Sus scrofa: one gene and its partners. The protein of the gene in region 3 interacts with the protein of the main gene of each other region in a pairwise test. Links are inferred from orthologs where the notes say so. Each region holds a gene or a part of one and is shown on either strand. Other genes may lie near its edges.

Region 1 (8,260 bases), on a different chromosome or scaffold from region 3:
AAGCAACACTATGTTCAGTAAATGATGAGTTCTCTTTGCCCTTCACAAATAGCTCTTCACATATTAGAATAAGTCTCTAGTCTGAAACTTTATGAAAGAAATACCTAACATTTATTTGGAAAATTCAGAAGAGACTACAGTTTGTTCTTTTCGATAAAGAGATTTTTAGCGTTATTTTTAAGAGACCTATTAAGATGGTTTTTCTCATATTACACCTACCTGTATCTTTTTGGATATTTCTTCTAACATCTTTAAATTTACAACCTGTAAGTGTTAACAAAGTGAGTAAAAGAGTCAGTTTTTCGTTACAAATAATGAGAATGTTTAAATGCATGTGTAGCTACTGTAGAAAGTCATTACACATGATCATTTATATGCTTCAATTCCATTTTTGAATGTGAATTTCAATTTCTTATATTCTTAGGAATATAATTCCAGGATTGATAGATCCAAGCAGAAGGAACTCTTAATCCAAGGATTCTTTATTCTGTGCCCCTTCTGTAGCAAGTACCTGGCTATAGTCCTCAGCCTCACACTGAATACTAGTGTTATGTTTTACTAAGATAGATAAATCAGAAATGTATATCTGTGAATGTGGGTTTGGAAGGGTTGAAGAGTAGATCTATGTTCCTTTATCTATGGCCCACCAAGAGGGTTTCCAGAAGTGAATTCCCATGCTGAGAAACTATGAAATTCTCTTACTGCTCAATACAGAGAATGATGTGTTAGCTGACAAAAAATTTTTTTTAACCTATCAATGATGTGACCTACCTGGAAGAGCACATAAACCAAGAAACTGAGAACAATTCACTCGTGACAGGGGTAGCCTGAAAAGAATAAAACTTTGTCAAATTTGGTTCAATTAAAAAAAAAAATTACAGATGGACATTTATACAAACCACTGAACAAAGGTGTGTTTCAGAGATTTACAATAGTCACAAAACAAAAATTCATATTTACATATCAGTGTATTGGTTACAAAAAGGCTTAGAAAGACTGGAAGTTTTAAAATAGAGACGTCATTTGCTTTGTTACAATTAAAGTCTTGAAAGCAACATGCTAATTTAAACTTACCTTAAGGATAGTAATGGCTAGATTGTCAACAGCTAGGATAAAGGGTACTTAAGTTACCCTTGTGGTATGTTACCTGAGATACTCTGTATCAGTAACCTTAGGCATAAACTGGAAAATAACCATCTGAGAGAGTTTTCCTCCAGGCCCGGTGGTAATGAACTCAACTAGTATCCATGAGGATGTGGGTTTGATCCCTGGCCTCGATAAGTGGGTTAAGGATCCAGCGTTGCCATGAGCTGAGATGTAGGTCGCAGAGCAGCTCGGATCTGGCATTGATGTGGCTGTGGTGTAGGCTTGCAGCTGAAGTTCCAGTTTGATCCCTAGCCTGGGAACTTCCATATGCTGCAGGTGCAGCACTAAAAAGACAAAAAAAAAGAAAGAAAGAAAAAAAAGAAAATGATCATCTGACAATCTCATTCCCAGCACTCATCTTTCTACATTACTACTTTAAGATTTCTTTGCAGGATTTCCTTAAACAGATATAATTTCATAGAATAAAAACCACAGGCCACCAATTCTTTGTTGTAATGGGTTTTGGTTAAAATGAAATAATTTCAAGAAGTCCTATTCCCAGTTTGCAGTGCTTGGTGACAATGAAGGCAGAGACTCACCTTGTCTTTGAAAAAGAAGATGAATTTAGAGGAAAACAGTTGGGGTGAGGTGGGGGAGCATCATATAAATACCACCTGACTGAAAATCAGATGAGATTTTGAGTTTAAAGGGGATTTAGAAGGGGAAATGAAAGATAATTGCTATTTGATGGCAGAACAAAAGAACTTCAGGGACAAGACTTTTTCTCTTCCTATATCAGGGACATTACCTTAAGGAGGATTATTACACTTTCAGGGATAAGAAAAAGCATCTGACTGCTGGTAGGCAAGAATCTTGTATAACCTAAATCACTGCCAAGACTTAGCAGTTGATTTTATATGAAAACATTTGGTTTTGGTTATTGTATCCATGATAATGTGGCTTTCATCTTAAATAGGGTCTACTGATAGATGAATTATTATGGCAAGTAGTTGTAGGATTTGAGTAAATGATAAATGATAACTCATCCTATGTTTGATACACTATTCTTTTGTCTTAAAAGAATAAAGTTTTGGTACTAAATGGGAGATCATTCTAATCTTAACTCCTTGTTTCTACTATGATTTTCTCAATATAAGGAAGGAGCTCCTACCACTCCCCTCCACCCCCCCAAAAAAAAGTCTTTTTCTATCATAGGTAAGAAAGATTAGAATTATATAATCAGCAGAAGGGAATAATTTTCAATATATAGACTAAATCCTACAAAGACTGTGATGTACACATCAGATATTTTAGCTCATCAGGGATCAGAAATGTCCACATACCATGATATCTGAATTGGAGTTTGTTCATCTTCAATAGGCTCTTCATCTGATGAGTCAAACTCACTTGTTTGTATCACGCTAGGCTTCAAAAGAAATCAATTATGTTAAATAACTGTAAAGAATATTTACATACAGTTTTAGTATAGCTGATCATAGCTTAAGTGCACACTGATACATACTGGCAATTTATTCAACCTGGAATATTAGAGAGATCTGCAATATCAATAATAAACTATTGCTGTTTATACCATTTATTAATCATTACAGCCCTATGTAGTAGAAAGACTGCTGGATTGAGAACCAAGAAACCTGTCTTCTGGTCTTGGCTCTGCCACTTACTGTATATACTTAGATAAGCAGCTTTAGTTTCCACTGGACCTCAGTTTTCCCAAACTAAAAAGTGAGGAGATTTATTCATTCATTGACAAACATTTCTGGGACATTTTCATTAGCCAAGCTCTGGAGATGCGAAGACCCATAAAGTAAGTACAGTTGGAGAGACAATGTGTACATAGATTCAAGAAAGTTAGAAGTGCTGAAATGCAAGCATAAACTATGCCCTTTAGAGCAGAGAAGGCTGTGGCTGACTGCTTAGGAAGCTGAAGAAAGCTTAATAGAGGAGACATCCATGAGTTGGGTTTTGATGGATAAGCAGGAAGTTTTTAGGCAGATAGAGAAGTTGTTAAGGCAATTAAGGCAAAAAGAGAAAGGGTCTGTGTACACTATAGTTCCTTAGTGTCCATGGTGTGTGTGTAGGATTGGTTGGCTCCAGCGTCACCCCACCATGGGTTCCAAAATCTGCAGACGCTCAAGTCCTGTATATACAATGACATGCAACCAGATACTGAGGTCCAACTATATTCAGGAACTGTGGTATCAGAGTAAGGGAGAGGAAGCCAAAGTAGTAGTTTTCTCTACCCCATTTCTCAAAAATTAATCCCCATACAGCCTAGTAGTTTGGTGGGGGGCAGGGTGGGGAGTTTAGGTGGAATAACCTAGCCCTAACTCTGTGAATCACTGGGCTAGAGAGAGTGAGATGCACTTTGTTTGCTGACCGAAGGAGATGAAACTCAATCCTGTGGGAAGCATTTCTACATGGAAGATGTGTTGTTTTATAGGAGTAATAAAAAAAACAAACAAAAAAACACACCTTTCTTCTACTCCCTAGCTGGAACCAAGGGAGAGATGAGATGCTGGAAAGGCAAATGGAGATCAATACATCAGTTTTATTACTGATTGTCAGAGGGAGGATGTGGTTTTAAAGCTGAGCTCAAGGCGGCTTGTCATTTCTTCACTCTAGCATTGGACTTCTCTCACCAGTCACAGGTGGTGATGGACAACCCAGGGCTCTCCTGTGCTAAGAGCACCCCAGAAAGTACTCTCTGCAAAGAGAAGGGAAGAAAGGGTTCCCTTCTTATGTTCAGCTCCTCTCAAACTTAGGCATCGGATCACTCACTCTTCCCCTTCTGGGGACAAGTGTAGAAAGAGGCTAGAAGTGAAGGACAGCTGATGTTCCCTCCACATGGAAACACGGGGATTAGCAAGTGGAACTGCCCAATGTCTTTTCTAGCTCTGAAGCCACATTCTATAATGGTCTTGTTCGTTACTACAAGATCACATTACAGAGCCAGTTTAGGCCACGGATTTGAGTTGCTTTGGATCCACCTGTGTTATTATTATTATTATTAATAAACTTAGTTCAAATGGAGGCTCTTCAAGGGGTTGTCAACCCTGGTGGGAGGTGATGTGAGTCAGATGGGTACCCTTCCGCTCCTTAAGCCTATTTTTTCTTTCTTTGATGATTCCAGATTTTCAATTTGTGTGGCCCATTAATTCAGGCTTTCCTATCCAGGTTTATAAATCTTAACAGTTGGAAGTTTCTGCTTCCCCAGGCCCAGAGATTCTGAACTCTAGGCAAAAGGACGTAGTGCCAGGTGGCCCCGTGCCCCGTGGGATGGTGACTGTGATGACACACCTACAAGTGGGGGTTGTGAATCATCGTCCGCGGGGAGGACTGCTCCGCAGGGGTGCCCAGCACATGCTTTGAGGCTGGGATATCAGGCTGAATGATACACGGAGACACTTAAGGCTTCTATGCCGTTTTTTTCCGTAAAGCGGGGCTCAGCGCTCTCTGGCAGGGCTGTCAGGAGACTTAGGAGACCCCGCAGGCGACAGCCCACAGCCCATAACAGGTGCACAGCGAATGTTCGTCTTCCCCTCGCCCGCCACCGACCCTGTTCTTTCGCTGCCATCGTTCTCCGCAAGTCTCGGGAAGGGCCATACCCCCTACCCTGGACGGTTACTACGCGAGTCGTGCCGCGACCAGGCCCAGGTGTCCCCGGGACCAGGAACTGGCCTCGGGACTGTTCCCATCCCATTAGCTCAATTCTTCCAATCCCCAACCCCACTCACCGGCTTCATCGCTGGCCGCCCCAAGTCGTGACCCGCCGCAGCCTTCTTCGGGCGGCACCAGCGTCTCAGCCTCCGCCCCTCGCCGAGCCTGCCCCTCGGCTCAGCTTATTGGTACATACTTCTGTGAGGTGGAGCGAGGAACCAATCAGACCCTCTCCCTGTTTCTTACTCCGGCCGGGGATTCCCCTGGCTCGGCCTCTAATCGCTCATTGGTTCCTAGGGGGCCTTTGAAAGACGCGCGAGAGGAGGGCCCTGCCGAATGTTCATTGGTTGGGAGGGCGACCTCTTCCCGCCGGTTGGGAGCGTGGAGGGGGCGGGGAGGTGAGGGCGGAGCGATATCTTTTAAAGACGGCCCCAGCACTGTGGGGATTCCGGAAAGCGGTGCTTTCTCATGGCAGGATTCCAAAGTGGTACCAGGGTAGGGAATTTTGTTTGTTTTCCTAAATTATTATTATTATTATTTTTATGGGCATGGTAGGGAGCGTTGGGCTGAAGCGTCTTGTGAATATACACCACATTCCGTGGACTTTGTAATTATGGTCACATCTAGTCATTCAAATGCTATGAGAACCGTTAAAAATCAAGACTTGTATGTTTGATATTTTATGTTCCTTACCATTCCAGGACATAGACAAGTTAGGATGTAGATTCAACCTTCCTACTCACTAAATATGAATGAAACAGTATGTTATAAAGGGGAAATAATAATTTCTAGATGGCTCTCAGTGCCAGTGTTTCTAAGTAAGAGTGGCTATAAACTTAAAAAAAAAAAAAAAAAAATAGAGTTCCAGTAGTGGCTCAGCTGAAACCAATATGACTAGTAACCATGAGGTTGTGGGTTTGATCCCTGGCCTCGCTCAGTGGGTTAAAATTGGGTGTTACAGTGAGCTGTGGTGTAGGTCCCAGACGAGGCTCGTCGGATCCAGCGTTGCTGTGGTGTAGTCCGGAGGTGCGGCCTTAAAAAGCCAAAAGGAAAAAAAAAAAAAAAAAATAGGGTTTGAGGAGTTGCTGCAGTGGGTTAAGAATCCCATTGCAGTGGCTCAGGTTCACCCCGGCCAGGTGCAGTGGGTTAAAGGATCCAGCGTTTCCACAACTGTGGATAGGTCACAGCTACCACTCAAATTCAATCTCTGGCCAGGAATTTCCATATGACTTGGGGTGTAGCCATAAAAAAATGTATTTTATTATTCACTCCCCCATTCTCCAGTCCCCATTTTGCTGGCCACAGTGAAGAAGGTCACCTGGAGCGATATTACCTGCAGGTCTGACAAAAATATGTAGAAATTTCACTCCCTGACTCATGTTGTAGAAACGAGGGGGTAGAGAGCTATTGGAAAGAATTCTTTAGTAAAGAAGATATCACAGTTTGCCTTAGAGATTGTATAAGGGTTCTCCAGAGAAAAAAACCAATAAGATATGTACATAAAGAGATTCAGTTTAAGGAATTGACTCTTACAACTGTGGAGGCTCAGCAAGTCAAAAGCTGATAAGGGAGACTAGAGGGGCTGGAGACTCAGGAAAAAATCGTAGTTGTAGTTTAAAGGCAATCTTCTGTAGAACCAGGATGAGCTGATGTTGCAGGTATAGTCCCAAGGCCACCTGCTGCAAAATGCCTGCTTGCCTTTTCTGTTCAGGCCTTCAACTGATTGAATGAGGACTATCTACATTATAAAGTGGAGTTTGCTTTCCTCACCACCAATTTAAATGCTAATCTCATCCAAAAACACCCTTCCAGAAACATGCAGAATGCATTTTGAGCAAATATCTGGGCATCATAGCCCAGCCAACTTGATACATAAAATTAGCCATAATGGACATACTGGACTTGGTTCATTCATTTATTAAGTATTTTATTGAACATCACATGTGTCCTATTCAAAGTATTGGGAATACTGGAGTGAACTAAACAAAGTCCCTGCCTTTTTGGGGCTCACATGCTATTGGGAGAGACAGTTGGAAAGTGAAAAATTAAAACAAGCAGAGCCTGATGAGGATGCTATTCTAGCTCCAAAAGTCAAGGAAGACATATTTGAGATGCCATTTGAGAAGTACCCAGGTGAAGGAGAGAGTGTCAACCATTTGAATATTTAGAGGAAGGGTTTTCATTCTAAGAGTAAGGAGGTGCAGAGGCCCTGGGATGGTAATGTGTTAGGAATGTGTGCACAAGGAACAGCAAGGAGGCCAGTATAGGAGAAGCTGATTAAGTGAGGCCGAGAGAGGTAACAAATGAAGCAGGACCTTGTGAGTGGCTTACAAGACTTTTTTTTTTGGTCTTTTTAGGGCCATACCCACAGCATATGGAAGTACCCCAACCGGGGGTCAAATCAGAGCTACTGCTTCTGGCCTACACCATAGCCACAGCCATAGCAAAACCAGATCCAAGCTACATCTCTGACCTAGACCACAGCTCACAGCAATGCTGGATCCTTAACCCACTGAGCGAACCCAGAGATCAAATGTGTGTCCTCATAGATACCCGTCAGGTTCATTACCGCTGAGCCACAACAGGAACTCCACAAGCCTCTTTCCTGAAACATTGAGAGAGTCCAAGGAAAGACTGTGACCTGGGCTCCAGGTAAATACTTTCTGGATGGGCTTCAGGATGTTTGATCATCCCTCATTCCCTAACTCTCATCTCCTTTCCACTTCTCCCAGTGTTGTCTCCACAGACATCTTTAATCTTCAGCATCAGGCGTCCCTTCCATTTTCTCTACGCATACCTCCCACTCTGGAATGAATGAAATCCCAGGTCCTTCGAGGGTGGTGCAAATTCTGCCCCCTCTGGCCTCAGCTGGATGGGGACACAGTGTCAATCGGTTCTAGCTCCTGCTGATTCTGCAGAGAAGGGAGGATGAGCTTCCAGTCTCAGGTTAGGAAATGGGTAGAACAGGGAGGGCTGGAGTAAACTGGGAGTATTTCACCTTCTCTTTGTTCTCTCCCCTGGCAGGGCCAGGCCAGGATTTCTAAGTAGCCATAGACGAACGCATCTCACCTCTGTGATGTAGGATTTTCCTTTTTGTCTGGTCCAGTGTTCGGCAAACTGTGGCCCGTGGACCAAATTCCACAGGCCTCTTTTTGTAAATAAGGTTTTATTAGAACACAGACATACTCATTTAAGTATTGTCTGGGGCTGCTTTTGCACCCCAGTAGTAAAGTTGAGTGGTTGCAGCAGGGACTGCATGGCCTGCAAAACCTGAAATATTAATTGCTGGTCCTTTACAGAAAATGTTTGCCCAGCACTGTTATATAGTCTATGAGAGAAATGTATGTTTCTTCTAGTAACATGGTTTTAAGTCTGCTTCTTGCAAAAGAGTCCTGGCCTTATTATGCTAAGACATTCTCCTCTGCTTAGCTTGGTCCCTTCATTGTGGAAGGGCCCACAGAAACTGACAAGGCCTCTGACTGAGCTTTCTGGTTAA
Region 2 (7,515 bases), on a different chromosome or scaffold from region 3:
TAACATTATGTGACAAAAAAGAATTGCAGACATTATTTAAAATACAAACAACAGAAAAAAGCAAAAAGAAATGAGAATCATCCAGGGGTAATCAATATGGGCCAATAAGTATATGTACACATAAGAATTAGTATCACACTACACTGTACTATAATTTAAAAATAATTGATAAAACGTTATGACAATTTTTCCATGCTTTAAATATCTTTCTGTCTAGAATGGATTTTTAATGGCATGGCTACCACAATTTATTTAACCAATCTCTATTTTTATTATTTATTTATTTTAGTATTTTTTTATTTTTTCTTTTTTAGGGCTGCACCCACTTAACATGGAAGTTCCCAGACTAGGGGTCAAATTGGAGCTGCAGCTGCCAGCCTACACCACAGCCACACAACGCCAGATCTGAGCCGAATCTGTGACCTATGCCACAGCTCACGGCAACGCCAGTGAGCAGAGCCGGGGATTAAACCCATGTCCTCATGGATACCAGTGGGGTTCGTTACCGCTGAGCCACCAACGGGAACTCCCCCAATCTCTTATTTTTAGATACATAAGTTGCTTCTAAGAGTTACTGTAAACTAGGCTGTAGGGAATGTTCTTGAAAAAAAATTTTTTTCTACATCCTCTCAATTTTCATTCCCCTTATTATTTTTTCCTTAATATTTCTGGACATGAAATTCATGGGTCAGGGGTGTGAATATTTGAAAGCTTCAATACTTATTTAATGATTCAGGTATTGAAAAAATCAAAAGGAGCCCAAACCTTTAGCAAAGGCAAAATGACGCGTCTTTATTTTATTTTGACCTTTTTATTACAGTGACAAATAGCATTTTACTTTATTTCTAGCCATCTTGCGTGTGCGTGCATGTGTGTGTTGTGGGGGCAGCTTTTGTCTCTGGCTCATTTTGGGTTTGGGGGGAGGTTTACCTTTTTGTTAGGATTTTGAAGGGTACATTGCACAGTCACTCAGCAGGAGTGTGAACCCTTTTCGAGGCAATCAGATGCTGCATGATGTTTTTTTCCTGTTTGCCATCAACACTTTCTCATACTGACGTTTTCTTTTATGGGATCTAACTTTGACTGTCCTTCAACTTGATAGTACACTTATTCATCTTCATGTTTCTTTCTATCACTTAAATATATATTCAATATTTTGATGTTTAATATGCATTGGAACTTTCACTGGTATATGAAGTGGATGATGGATTTACTTTAATTTCCTCGCAGATGAACCTGCCCATTCGATCTTCAGATTCCAAACTATGTCAACAGCAACATAACACTGGGGCACACTGGGTAAAAACCATTTGGAATCTCCAATCTGTTGTCCATAAAATACCTAAATCACCCTATGAGATTTTTGGGGGTAAATATGAAATGAGACAAGTTCTCAGAAGCTATTTGTGGCCTGAAAAGCACCAGCTGAGGGTGCGGTTTCTCCTTCCATGGGGTGGGGCGGGATTTGAACCTGTCGCAGATCAGGTCGCTCAGGAGGAAAGTACAGGTGGCAGCTGAAGGGCAGTTTTGTAATTTCCAGTGTGACTAACCTCATATCTTCAGTTCCTTTAAAAAAGTACTTGAGTTCCGTCCTTTGATATTTTTCCCTTAGTAGTTAAATCATTCCAGAGCAATTTATTGAATAATGAATTATTTTCTTATTTGTTTGAAATGTTACCTCTTTACGGACGTGTGATTGAGTTAGGCTTATTCCTACTGTCTTAAGTGTTGTGTTTTGTTTTGTTTTAATTTTGGCTGCACCTGTGGCACATGGAAGTTGCTGGGCCAGGGACTGAACCTGCACCACAGCCATAACCAGAGCCCTGACAGTGACAATGCCAGATCCTTAACCTGCTGAGCCACAAAGGAACTCTCTCTTATTGTCTCATTCTTAACTCTCTATGGCTTATTCTTACATGTCTACTCTGAAACCAAAACTATCTTGGTTTACGGCTCATAGCTGTGTAACATTTGCATACACCTGTCCACCGTTGTTCTCTCTCAGTACCTCCTTGCCAGGGCTTTCCTGCAGCACTGGGCAGGGAGGCCAGGTGTACCCCTTTGGGCTGCTTGATCTGGTCCACGGCAAACCCATATTAACTTCAAAGCCGTGCCATGTCAATTTTTTCATTATAAATCTACACAATTTAACTTTTCCATTATCCATCAGACAGCTGAGGAAAGGCTAACCTTGATTTCTGGATAACACAAAATTTTGACCTGTAAAATAAAGCTTTCAGCTCCTTGCAGACATGGTGGGTGCCACACTGGGTATCTGTTGGAAGAATATCTTCGCAAAACAAAAGGGTTCAATGCCCATGCTCATGGCAGCATTTCATCACGACTGTTAGAAGATGGACGCAACTCAAGTGCTCCCAGCAGGTGAATGGACAAACCAGAGTGCGTGTACCAGTGTCCGTGCGGTGCAAGACTATTAGCCACGTCAAGGCGGGAAAGTCTGATACCTGCTCTCGCTTGGGCGGCTCTGGAGGACCTTGTGCTCAGTGAAAGAAGCCAGTCACAAAAGGACAAACGGTGTGCGATGCAAGCCGTCCAATTCACAGAGACAGAGAGATGGCGGATGCAGGGGCTGGGGCGTTGTTGTTTGGTGGGGACAGAGTTTCAGTTTTGCAGGATGAAAAGAGATGAATGGCGTGATGGTTGCCCAACAGTGTGAATGTACCTGATGCTGCCATACTGCATGCTTAAAAATGGTTACAATGGCAAGTTTTATTTTAAGAAATTTTATCATAGTCATCAACCAAATTTTTAAAACCCCCAAAACAGAGCAGCTCTAGTTGATTTTGAAGATCGATATCAGTTCCAAATTCTGAGACCAAAAAAAAAAAACAAACCAATCAAACCCATGCATCTCTTGGAATGGTCCTAGGAAGCAAAGAGGTGAGAAACAGTGATGGCTCCTGATTTTCAAGTACTGAAAGGCCAGGAAGAGCTGGAAGGGAGCAAGCTGAGGGGGGCTTGGTGTTCTCAGAGCCCCCAGCACCGCCAACAGTGCAGGCTGGGCAGCCCTGGCCTGCAGCCTGGCTCCACCAGCCTCTCCCTCGCGTGGGCTGCTTGACAGTGAACAGTGGCATGAGGCGCATGTGGACAAATTCATCCTCGTGCGCTCCCCGATTTGGCAGGGGAGCCCAGGCCCCCCAGCAGGAGGGCAGAGGTCAGCTCCACAGTTCTAGAAGGCTTGGTGCCAAGCAGAGGCTCAGAAGCAAATCAGACACACACAAGAGCCTGATCGGCCTCCTCAACAGGATGGGGGAGCCATCGAGGGCCATGACTGATTGGCAGGCTCTTCTCAATGCCACACAGCGGCTCAGCTGTCCTGGGGGTGGTCTGCCAGCAAGGGTGCTAACTGACCCTCTATCTTAAAACAGGTGCTCTTCCAGCAAGCAGACAATCTGCTGACTACTTACTTTTCAGATGAATGTAACTCAGCATTAACTCAGCCTTCTCCGACACCCACCCCAGCACTCCGCGCTCTGCCCACCTTGGCGGCTCTGGGGAACACTTACAGCTGCCCAGCTGGCTCTGAAAGTCCATGGACATGTTGCTTAGAAAGTCGCTGTTGACAATGTCCCTCCACTGGATGGACTCCGCGTGACAGAGGGCAGGGTTGTTGCTGAAGCGCACGGCGCCTTGCAGGATCTCTGTGCGAGAAAGGACCCCATGAGAAAACGTGCCCCCCTTCTAAACACTCGTGAAATATGCCTGCATTTCTCCAGTTTGCCTTCGGCTACAAGGATGGCAGCTGGCATGGAGACTCCCCATGGAACTCCCGGCAGGGGGGGTGAGAGGGAAGCTGGAGGCTCCACTCCACGGAGGGGTCACGATGGCCTTGCACCGGGTCCTTGAACGACGCACGGCCAGAATTTAGGGATGTAGGGAGGAAGGAGGCCAGTGCTTGAGCCTCTTAGCATAAGTGATGAGTGCGCAGTGAGTTGGTGGTTCTCGGGGAGGCTGGCCCGGAATGACTATGTGATGCAGATGAGAAAGGGCAAATGGGAGGGGCGGGCAGGGACAGGGAGATGCTGGCAGGTGTTCTGTGGCATCTCATTGGAGAAAGGGGTGTGAGGTGGAGGGGGCAAGAAGTATCTGTGACCAGGAATTCCCACTGTGGCTCAGTGGTTAACGAATCTAAGAACCATGAGGTTGCAGCTTCGATCCCTGGCCTTGCTCAGTGGGTTAAGGACCCGGCGTTGCCGTGAGCTGTGGTGTAGGTTGCAGATGTGGCTCGGATCCCACTTTGCTGTGGCTGTGTTGTAGGCCAGCAGCTATAGCTCCGATTTGATCCCTAGCCTGGGAACCTCCATATGCTACGAGAGCGGCCCAAGAAATGGCAAAAAAAAAAAAAAAAAAAAGTATCTGTGACCTAGATAGATCAGGCACCAGGGCTGCAAAGGCGTAAAGGACAGTTAGCTGTTCAAAGGAGCTGATGGTGCGAAGAGTCAGGAGTGATAAGAAAAGTTGAGCCTGAGCAGAGGGCTTGTTCCAGCTGTGACATTTATGTAAACATCTGCCTAGTGACTCAGGCACACAGAGCACGGCGGGGAGGGCCATGGGGTCTGCAAAGATGGACGATTTCTGCTGGCTCCTGGGAGACGGGTCATCCAGTGACCTCACATCCGCGGAGGGCCTCCACCCCCAGCAGGAGGGCACCAGCGGTTTACAGGCGCTACCTGAGCTGATGCAATGACTGCGCCTCTCCTGCGGATGCCTGAGTTCTGCCCAGCATCGCACAGCGGAGGGGCCGTGGAAGGAGGGCTCTGCTGGGAAGAGTCTCCAGGGCACTGGGGAGGACACAGCTCCCAGAGGGCAGAGGAGCACGGGGGGACCGGGGGGAGGAGCACGGGGGGACCGGGGGGAGGAGCACGGGGAGACGGGGGAGGAGCACGGGGGGACCGGGGGGAGGAGCACGGGGGACCGGGGGGAGGAGCACGGGAGACTGGGGGAGGAGCACGGGGGACTGGGGGAGGAGCACGGGGGACTGGGGGAGGAGCACGGGGGACTGGGGAGGAGCACGGGGGACCGGGGGAGGAGCACGGGGGGACCGGGGGAGGAGCACGGGAGACTGGGGGAGGAGCACGGGGGACTGGGGGAGGAGCACGGGGGACTGGGGGGAGGAGCACGGGGGACTGGGGGAGGAGCACGGGGGACTGGGGAGGAGCACGGGGGGACTGGGGGAGGAGCACGGGGGGACTGGGGGAGGAGCACGGGGGGACTGGGGGAGGAGCACGGGGGACTGGGGAGGAGCACGGGGGGACTTGGGGGAGGAGCACGGGGGACTGGGGAGGAGCAGGGGGGACTAGGGGAGGAGCAAGGGGGGACTGGGGGGAGGAGCACGGGGGCTCCAGGTAGATGGAAGCCCCGGTGCAGAGGGGTGGCTCCTTCAGCAGATTCGGAGACACAGAGTCCCAAAGCGCAGGCTCGGGGGTCAGAGAGGGCCCCATGTGGAGCTTTGGACGTGAAGTCAGAGGCCACAGCAGGACAGTAAGTGGATACGCTCATGGGGGAGGGAGCCAGAGTCAAGGGGGTAAACTCTGATGAGAGGTCAGAGCTGGGGATGCAGAGGAGATGCCAGGGCTGCGGGACCATCAGGGTGACGGACCAAGGACAGGAAAGTGCAGGTAAGAAGGTCACGGGCAGCAGGGCCCCAGCACTGCCCCGTGACGGTGACAGTATGTAATTCGCCTTAAACAGCCCCCATCAGAGGATTAGTTAATGACACTGCGTCACCTGGACTGATGCAGCCCCAATACCAACAACAGAAATAACCCTAAGTCAAGAAGCAGCTCCCCGTGCTTTATCTGGAGTAATCCCCTTAACTGACTCGACACTCCTGCCAGTCCGTTACCATCCCACCTACACACCCGAAGACACAGAGAGCACGTGCTCTGGGCGCCTGGCTGGTGAGTGACGGGGCCAGGGCTGGATCCTACCCGCACAGGCTCCCGCCGTCTCTGCCTGTCACCACCAGACCGCGAGGCCACATGGGCGGCCGGCGAGCTGAGAGCCTGCACACACTGGCCAGCGCCTGGGCAGGTAAGGATGCTGGGGCACAAGCTGGGTGCCCACCCCTGGCTGTTTTTCACTCATGTGGGACGTGAGGAAGGTCCCTCTGCCACCATGTCTTTATTTGTCACTTGCATTAAAAGAAGACTCCAATTGAACACAGCTAGCACTGCACCTGCCACACAGCAGGGCATAATAAGGGCACAGCAAGGGTGGTCCTCAATGTCCCAAATCAGCTTCCTGTCCTGTCTTCATCCTCCGCAGCTTCCTCTCGGAGGGCCCGCACAAGTGCCCTGTCCTAAGAATTCTGACTTCTCTTGTCATACTCCCTACCCTGAACCTAAAATGCTCTCCGTATGAGGGCATTACCCTGGAAAATGTCTCACGTTGGCGGGGTGGGGTGGGTAATGCGTGCCCCTTATACCTGGGGTCCAGATAATAAAACTGGCAGATACATGGGCACAAAAGACCTCGCCATCTGACCTCACTGTCCTCTCCCCAGAACCGCTGTCACTTCTCCCAACTCCCTGGATGTTCTGGACGGAGGACAAGTGGTACTTGGCTTAGATCATCCTTCCCTCTCCGTCCTCTACGACCCGCTTAGGGACGTCCATCTGCTGCGTCTTGCTCAGGACCAGCACCCAATACCTCTGCATGTGAGGAATCAAAGTCTTCTCTGAGTGGAGTTAAGAAAGTCCCGGTTGGGGAGCCCATCTGAGCTGCCCTCCATGTCTGCAGCCTCTCACCTTGTAAGTTCCTCATGGGCAGCTCCCTCAGGCCGGTTTTATTGGCCCCGTAGTTGGATAAGACGGCTAAGGCATGGGTGTTTTCATACAGTACATTTCCTCGGATGATCTGCAGGTTTTCCAAAGGGATCTTCTCCACGGTGTTGAGGGCGATGAGCACGTAGCCGGCGACCTCCTGAATGGTCTAGGAGAGGAAACGTGAGCAGAGTCTCTCTTCTGAGGAATATTCAAGAATGCAAGATCCACACGGTAAGATGAGCCTGCGACACCTAACTGCGCTCTGCACAAGAGTGGTTGACAAATGCAAAGCGTGCAGATGACTACAGCCGGCTCCCACGGGAGGTGACAGGATTTGCAATGACCCTGCGCTCCTGCCTCTCGAGCCCAATGGCGCTAATAAAAAGCCATGTGCATTACTTAGGAATGCTGTGACGTTCATTCTGCTTGGTGTTCAACACACTCAGACAATAAAGGGTATGTTTTATTAATTTCTTTTGTATCTGTCTTGCAGGTTTTTCCATAAAAAAAAATAATAAACCCATGGAGCTCCCTGGCGGCTCAGCAGGTTAGGGATCCAGTGTTGTCACTGCTGTGGTGCAGGTTTGATCCCTGGCCTGGGAACTTCCACAGGCTGCAGGCATGGCCAAAAAATAAATGAACACACCAAGAAAAAAAAAAAGCAATCGAATCCAAAGTTCAACTATACCAAATTAAGACGCCTTCAGGGTTGGCTCCTACTGGCTCT
Region 3 (8,083 bases):
GCAGGTCCAATCCCTGGCCTTGCTTACTGGGTTAACAATACGGCATTGTGGTGAGCTATGGTGTAAGTCACAGACACAGCTCAGAACCCGTGTTGCTGTGGCTGCGGTCTAGGCCGGCAGCTGTAGCTCCAATTTGACCTCTGTCCTGGGAAGTGTCATGTGCCGGGGGTACAGCCCTAAAAAAGACCAAAAAAAAAATATATATATATATAAAAAAAGAATGATGTTCAAGTGCAGAAATCTCTTTTAAGGATATGGTGGAAGTCGGTGAAAGAGAGCACTTTCCATACTGCTTCCTATTACTACCTCATCCAAACTGAGCTTGTATCAGGAACACACTCATGAACACAGCATGAACAATTATAAATGCAGCAGACAATTTTAGGGATCTGTGATATTTAGCATTATGCAAATTAGAATCTCCTATAATTCTTGTGTTGTGAGACATAAACTTAGAGTAGTTGTACAAACAGCTCATATGTGAAAGAAACTAGATTTAAAAATCACAAAAAACAGAAAATGACATTGAAAAATGGGCAGAGGATCTGAATAGACTTCTTTCCAACAGGCACATGAAAAGATGCTCAACATCATTAATCATCAGGGAAATGCAAATCAAAACCACCTCACACCTGTCAGAATGCCTACCATCAAAAATGCAACAAATGGAGTTCCTATTGTGGCTCAGCTGAAACGAATCTGACTAGCATCCATGAGGACACAGGTTCGATCCCTGGCCTTGCTCAGTGGTTTAAGGATCCAGCATTGCTGCGAGGTGTGGTATAGGTTGCAGACACACCTCAGATCCATAGTTGCTCTGGCTGTGGCATAGGTCAGCAGCTACACTTCCGATTCAACCCCTAGCCTGGGAACTTCCATATGCTGCAGATGGGACCCTAAAAAGAAAAAAAAAAAAAAAAAAAAGGGAGTTCCCGTTATGGCTCAGTGGTTAATGAACCTGACTAGTATCCATGAAGACATGGGTTCAATCCCTGGCCTTGTTCAGTGGGTTAAAGATCCCGAGTTGCCATGAGCTGTGGTGTAGGTTGCAGATGAGACCTGGACCCTGAGTTGCTGTGGGTGTGGCTGTGGCTGTGACCAGCAGCCGTAGCTCCGATTGGACCCCTAGCCTGGGAACCTCCATGTGCCCTGGATTCGGCCCTAAATAGACAAAAGCAAAACAAAAACAAAACTGGAGTTTTCTGGTGGCTCAGCAGGTTAGGAATCCAGCTTTGTCACTGCTGTGGCCTAGGCCAGCAGCTGCAGCTCCTATTAGACCCCTAGCCTGGGAACTTCCATATGCTGCAAGTACGGCCTTCAAAAGAAAAAAAAAAAAAAAAAAGCTTCTGACTCCAAATTCCTTTCCCTGCTTAATACCTAAAGAGCCCTACACCCTCTGATGGAAGCACCTTGAATTACATGAGCAAACTTCAGTGCTTTACTCAGGCTATTTCCTCTGCTTGGAAGGCCCATCCCACAATTCTTTCTCCAGTGTTCCTTCAGATGTCACAGGCTTCTCCAGTGTCCCTTCAAATGTCACATCCTCTGTTTGAATTAGTTATTTCCTCCTTTATGTTTTCATATCACCTTATAGCATAAGTTATAACATCAGTGCCAGAAGCGAATTTTAAGTAATTTTTTATTTTAAGTAATTTTTTATTTTAAGTAATTTTAAGTAATTCTCCCACCCCCCAACACTTAGAGCAGAAAATGTATCTGGTGTGTGTGTGTGTGTGTGTGTGTGTGTGTGTGAGAGAGAGAGAGAGAGGAGAGAGAGAGAGAGAGAGAGAGAGAGACACTGAAGAGAAGCTGACCCTGGATAATAAACTGTACTTGCTAAGGTGATGGCCTGAATTTACAATGACCCCTGAAACTTTAGAAAGAAAGATAATAAAAAACAAACAAAACCTCCAAAACACCAGCCATGCACACACAAAAGGAAAGATAGCCAAGTTAAATTTAAATACAAATCTAGCGTCAGAGTTGTGGAAGCTTGTGGTCTTTTTTATGCTGAATGTAAAATGTTTGTAATGATTTACTAGCTGTTTTTAGATGAGGCAAATTGAATCTCTTGCTTAGGCCTCCCAAGAGAAAGATATATATATTTATTCGGTAAAATTAGTACACTAAACTACCAGAAAGCAGTCTTCTTCTCTAGAGCTTTTCTCCAGGGGCAGTTTTCATTTAAAATGTGAATTTGAAATTTTAGAAATAGGTTTTAAAGGTTATTAGGTTCAGGCCAAGATTTCCCAACCCCCTATCTCCACCATGAATCCCAAATGCTCTGCCTCTGATACCCAGGAGCACAAAGTTTCCAAGGCTGAGGGTTTGTGCCATATATAGGGCCGGATGACAGATGCTGCTCCTTGCATAATAAGGTATTAAAAACATAAATGCCTGTGGTATACTAGCTCCTTTCCTTAGCCTAACTTGAGTCATCTAACATATAACTGTAGAGGTCATGGTAATGATTTTTTTGTCCTACATTCCATTAGGGTCAGTGCAAAGACTCTTATCCCTTATTCTATTTTGCTCTTTTATCTCCCTAAGGACTTAAGAATGGTGTTCAGGTGCAGAACTCCCTCTTTAGGATATGGTGGAAGGCAATGAAAGAGTTTTGGGACACTGGATTATTTAAAGTATGATTTAGATCTCTTTCTTCCCTCATAGAAATGTGAACTCTTTTTTTATTTATAATTTATAATATAAATTTATAATTCTCATGTAAGAATATTTTAAAAATGTTTTAAACGTGGATCCAACACCACAGCCAGGGCGACGCTGGATTCTCCATGCACTGAGTGAGGCCAGGGATCTTCCTGGGTACTAGTCGGATTTATTACCCCTGTGCCACAACGGAAACTCCCTGTTTTTAGTTTTTAAATAACATTTTAAATAGACAAAATAATTTAAATTTAAAAAGTGAGGTTAAAAACATAACATAGTCAACATGTGTGTAATGTAAAAATAGTAAAGTCCAATGTGTATATGTGTGTGTGTGTGTGATATAAAGTTTTTCTTTACATTGATCAGGACATCTTTGAGTTTTCTATTATTTCCTTGAGGTAACTGAAATGTCCTTTGGCCCAGCCTGAGAGTTATTAATTTAGAAAAACACAAATGTGAGCTAGCTTTAAGAATTTTAAGTGAAAGTAATGGGATCTAGATTAAGTGTGTTATCACTTTTCTGATGAGGTATTTGAGTACAATAAATTTTAAATGTGCCAGTATTGTGAGGGGAAAAAAGCCAACCCCTGGCGAACAGTAGATTTCTGATGACTTGAAACAGTAGGACGACGCTTTCTTGGAATGGAAGACAGCGCTTGCGCTCACACTCAGTTGGCGCCCGCCCTCCTGCTTTTTCTCCAGCCGCCGTTTCCTCCTTCTTTCGCGCTCTAGCCACCCAGGAGGTCCAGCCCAAGAGCAGCTGGGCTCTGATTGGATCCTTTGAAAGTCTACGGGCTACCTGATTGGTGGATCCAGGACCCTTTAGCGCGGTGAGTTTGAAACTGCTCGCACTTAGCTTTTCAAAGCTGGCTCTGGGAGCTTAAGGAGAGCGACGCTGACGTGGTAGCCCTGCCGCCGCTTTCGTCGCAGGATAATAAGCTGGGTAGAGTCGCTGGGGTCAGGGTCATGCTTATGGGGCGTTCAGTTGGCAGGGGAGGTTCGCGGGCCTCGGAGGGGGAGTGTTAAGGAACCGGGTGAGAATTAGGAGGCTGGGCCCTGGGCAGCAAGGGTCTGCGTGTGGCCAGCCGGGACCTTTATCTGGGGCCTGGGCGTGTGAGTGACGCCGAGGTCCGTCATGAGAGCGAGGCTTGGGGGAGCCCAGCCCTGGCAGGATTACTCCGGCCGGGCTGGGGTTGCTCTGGCCTCGGAATTTAGCCTGGGGTCGCGGGCGGCTGAGGAGGCTTTGAGGTCATGGTTGAAGCCGAATCCGCGCATTCGACGTTGCCAAGTGCTTGCCGAGTGCCAGGCTCGGCCTTCGGTCCTGCAGTTCCCCCCGTCCCTGGTGCGCCTTGCCCTCGCCTCTGGGCGTGGAAAGCAAGGCCGCACCTGGGCCAGGTACCCGAACCTCTTCCTGATCCCAGGACGCCCCTGGAAACCGATTGGATGAACTAACTTGTGGGTCTTCTCAGGCTTGCGTCTGTGCCTGTGACCCTAGCCCACCTAGAGCTTTAAGGAAGACTTAGCCAAGGCATACAGCCCGAGAGAACTTGGATTTGTTTTAATTTGTTTTTATGCTTGGTGGTTGTTATATACCATGGAGTTGGTAAAGAGTAGATATCTAAGAAAAGCCTACAGCTAGAAACGTGTGTTTTTAAATCCTATAGTCAATTTTTACCTAATAACTTGTACGTCTTGCTTCCTCTAAAGACCTGGAGGTCTCTGTAGATGAAGTCTTGGTATTTCAAGGCCGGCTATACTCAAATTCCGAAGCTGCTATCTTTATTTCAAATAGTTACAACCGGAGAATGGAGGGAGAGTAATTGAACCCAGCGTTGAGATGGAGTTAGTTTTTAGTTATTTGTTTAACCTGAGCTTAACAATTTTATTGTGCTTTAGGCATATTAAATCTGGATATTGAGGAAAAGATAATTATCTTCATCGTCCACTGCCATTTGTAAAATTAAACCTTTCTAGGATGGCAAGTGTAGTGCAATTTTAATTCATTTAGAAAGATCTATTTCTGCTTATTTCTGGAATGATTTTGAAGATGAATGTGAGAAATAGAATCTACGGGTCAAATTACTCAGAGTGACCTTTGTATATAAGCTTATCAGTGATTGTATTATAAAATTAGATTTTGAGCTTCTGAAGTAAATGGTTGACAGGCAAACTAACCAGCCAAGACTTAACAGGAAGTCTTGTATCTGATTATCATTTCAGCTTTTTTTTTTTTTAAGCCTTTATTGTTCTTGTCTGTTGTGTGGGGTATAGATTTTTTTTCCCCCCTGTGGAATTGTACCTTTTCTTTTAGAGTGCTTAGTGATATTTCCTGCCTTACCCTCCAAATTTTTATCCTGTGTGACTGCTGAGAACAGGAGAATGATTAAAACTGTCACTTGAGCGAGCTGAAACACTTTTGCTATTTTAAACACTAATGAAAAAAAAAAAAGAGCCGCGTTGTCTGCCTGCTTGTATCTTTCACAAGCATCCTATCTTAATAAATCTATTTCTTGCATTAAAAAACCCCCCAAAAAACCCATAATGAGCGAGCAGTGTCACATTTTAACTCCCTGCTCATGCCTTTAAAAATTGTTTAAAAATTATCTTCATAAAAATATCATAAATCTATACAAATTCAGTCAAATAACATTCTTTGTTAAAGTATTTGGGTACAACTCTGACACATATTGTTGGTGCTCCTTTTTTTTTTTTTTTTTTTTTTGTCTTTTGAGGGCCACACCCGCAGCCAGGAAGTTCCCAGGCAAGGGGTCCAATCAGAGCTGCAGCTGCCGACCTGCGCCACAGCAACGCCAGATGCCATCCGCTTCTGCGACCTACAGCTCTCAGCAAAGCCAGATCCTTAACCCACTGAGAGAAGCCCGGGATCGAACCCGCAACCTCATGGTTCCTAGTTGGATTCATTCTGCTGTGCCACTGGGGGAACTCCTGGTGCCCTTTAAAAGTGTTACATGAAGAGAACATCTGTCTAAATTTGAGGGTTTGGAAGGCACTAAATGTTACACTAGTATAGGATATACAATTATTTCCAGTGTTTTCATGAGCTAAGGTGGGAGAGTTTTTAGTTCTTTCCCATGTAAATATTGTTTTAATATAAGATTTATGGAAAATTAATACTGCACTAGGCACTGTGGAAATACTTCCCTTTAGTATCTCATTAATAACTTAAAATTGCCCTTTGAGTTTGTGGCATGTAATCAAGTCCATTTTTCCTCTCATTTTAGGATCTACCACATCCACTGAGTAACTATGGAAGACTATACCAAGATAGAGAAAATTGGAGAAGGTGAGTAGTTTTAATAATATACAAGGTTTTTTTTTTTTTAATGATTTAATGATGCTGCAGCATCCTTGACATGAAGACGTGAACATTCATTAAAGAATGAATGTTCTATAGGTACCTTACAGTACATTAGTACATTAATACATATGTTCTTTACATGATAATTGAAACATAAAAATGTTCCCAGTTCAGGAGAATTGAAATTATTTTCGCATGTGTCCCCAACAGCCCCCTCCAATAATCTTACATTCTTCTAAGACAAATGCTTAAAGCAATATTTGTATTTTGAATCCTATTGATATCTTGTAGGTGTGGTTGGGAGAGTGTTCATGCAGTGGAATTAGGTACTTTACTTCTAAATACTTGTGCATATATATTCTGAGGTTCTAGTCAAGGTCACACATTTCATTTCGTGGTTAATGTCTCCTTAATCACTTCTAATTTAGAATAGGCCCTTGACATTGAGGTTTTTGACAATCTAATTCATTCCTTAAATACACCCAGGCTTTTCTGATTTCATTTATTACTCTTGTTTTTCCTGGATTACAAAAGTCTGAGTGTTGTAACATTAGTCTTTGAATTCCTTCGTGTCTTTAAGAAAACATCTTTTTAGATCATAGCATGGTTACAGCCATGATGTGGAACCTTAATTGGCATTTAGTAGGTACTCTAAAGATTTGTTGATTAAAGGTTTTTTTTGTTTACCACCAGCAGCTTTATAATTTGACCATAGCAAATGTTTTTTAAGTTTTAAATATTCAGTTCAGAGCATATACCTTGTATCATACAAATATTTTTGGTGCTTAATCAGTAGAATCCTTTTGTTCTATTTAACTAGAGCTCTATTCTAGTAGTTCAATGAGAAGTGATAATTCAGAGTCAGGAGGGAGACATAGAGCACTTATGATGTTTAAAACTCAGTAATTCTTGAGTGTTTACTATAAATTAATGGTTGTTATAAGTAGATTTTAGGTCTATGAGTGCTGTACACTTGAGGGAAAAGTAAGAATACTAAAAAAAATTTTTTTGTATTTAAAATTAACTGCCTATTTGGCTATATTCCACAAATGACTAATCTTCTGAGTGTAAATGGTGTGCCAGATGAGGGTGCTTCTAGCTTACCTGCTTTTGTGTTTAATGCAAGTACAATTTACATTTGAAAAATGTAGGTTTTAAGTCTAGAGAAGGTTACCTACTTTATTTTTTCTTTTCGTGGCAGCTCCTGTGACATTTAGAAGTTCCCAGGCTAAGGGTCAAATTGGAGCTGCAACTGCCAGTCTATGCCACAGCCATGACAGATCAGAGCTGCATCTGTGACCTATGTTGCAGCTTGTGGCAATGCTGGATCCTTAACGCACTGAGCAAGGCCAGGAATTGAACTCGCCATCCTCATGGATACTAGATAGGTTCTTAACCTGCTGAGCCACACAGGCACTCCTAAAGTTGGCTACTTTTAAGGATGGTTATGAAGAGCAAATAAGATTAATCCTACATAGTCTTCAATAATTTTGGTTATCCAAAGCACAGTTAATCTAAATTTAATCAAATGATATGCAATGGATTTTATGTCAAATTATGTCTTTAAAATGATACCAAGACAGGGAGTTCCCAATTGTGGTTCAATGGATTAAGAACCTGACAAGTATCCATGAGAATGCAGATTTGATTCCTGGCCTCAGTGGGTTAAGGATCTGGCTTTGCCCTGAGCTGTGGTATGTATCGCAGGTGCGGCTCTGATCTGGTATTGCTGTGACAGGTGTAGGCCAGCACCAGCAGCCTACATATGCCATATACCACATGTGTGGCCCTAAAAAGAAAAAAGAAAAAACAATCAATCCCATAAGGTGTCAAGGATAGAAACTTCTGTTGTGGCCAGAGAGGAAGCATCTTACTCATAGTTGTACCCTCTCACTCTGCAAAAAACACTGAGGTTAACTACAGCCTATTGTATCCATACTTTAGAAAGCTCATGTAGTCACAATTTTCTAATTTTCCAGCCCATTTTAGAGAAAAAGGATCATTTGCAAATTGGAAACTTCTCTCCTGTCAAATGTCCTACCCAACAAGGTAGGCATAAAATAGTGTAAAAATTTGGGGTCAGGAAATAATACTAAC

The links.
Region 1: the proteins of CDK1 (region 3) and CDKN3 interact in a two-hybrid assay, tested with the Homo sapiens proteins (2 studies listed by BioGRID and IntAct). The link is inferred for Sus scrofa from reciprocal best matches to the Homo sapiens genes CDK1 and CDKN3.
Region 2: the proteins of CDK1 (region 3) and EGFR interact in binary tests that used the Homo sapiens proteins (3 or more experiments, as listed by UniProt). The link is inferred for Sus scrofa from reciprocal best matches to the Homo sapiens genes CDK1 and EGFR.

The regions. Positions count from the first base shown.
Region 1 is NC_010443.5:183,789,343-183,797,602, reverse strand, and holds the start of CDKN3 (cyclin-dependent kinase inhibitor 3), read right to left. Parts: upstream 4,987-8,260; 5' UTR 4,851-4,986; coding exon 4,842-4,850; intron 3,812-4,841; coding exon 3,747-3,811; intron 3,623-3,746; coding exon 3,580-3,622; intron 2,513-3,579; coding exon 2,430-2,512; intron 828-2,429; coding exon 772-827; intron 265-771; coding exon 220-264; intron 1-219. UniProt on the Homo sapiens protein: May play a role in cell cycle regulation. Dual specificity CC phosphatase active toward substrates containing either phosphotyrosine or phosphoserine residues. Dephosphorylates CDK2 at 'Thr-160' in a cyclin-dependent manner.
Region 2 is NC_010451.4:139,418,304-139,425,818, reverse strand, and holds part of EGFR (epidermal growth factor receptor precursor), read right to left. Parts: intron 6,955-7,515; coding exon 6,771-6,954; intron 3,663-6,770; coding exon 3,528-3,662; intron 1-3,527. UniProt on the Homo sapiens protein: Receptor tyrosine kinase binding ligands of the EGF family and activating several signaling cascades to convert extracellular cues into appropriate cellular responses.
Region 3 is NC_010456.5:64,230,472-64,238,554, forward strand, and holds the start of CDK1 (cyclin-dependent kinase 1), read left to right. Parts: upstream 1-3,517; 5' UTR 3,518-3,610; exon of another isoform or gene 3,611-3,624; intron 3,625-3,759; exon of another isoform or gene 3,760-3,804; intron 3,805-5,909; 5' UTR 5,910-5,934; coding exon 5,935-5,971; intron 5,972-8,083. UniProt on the Homo sapiens protein: Plays a key role in the control of the eukaryotic cell cycle by modulating the centrosome cycle as well as mitotic onset; promotes G2-M transition via association with multiple interphase cyclins.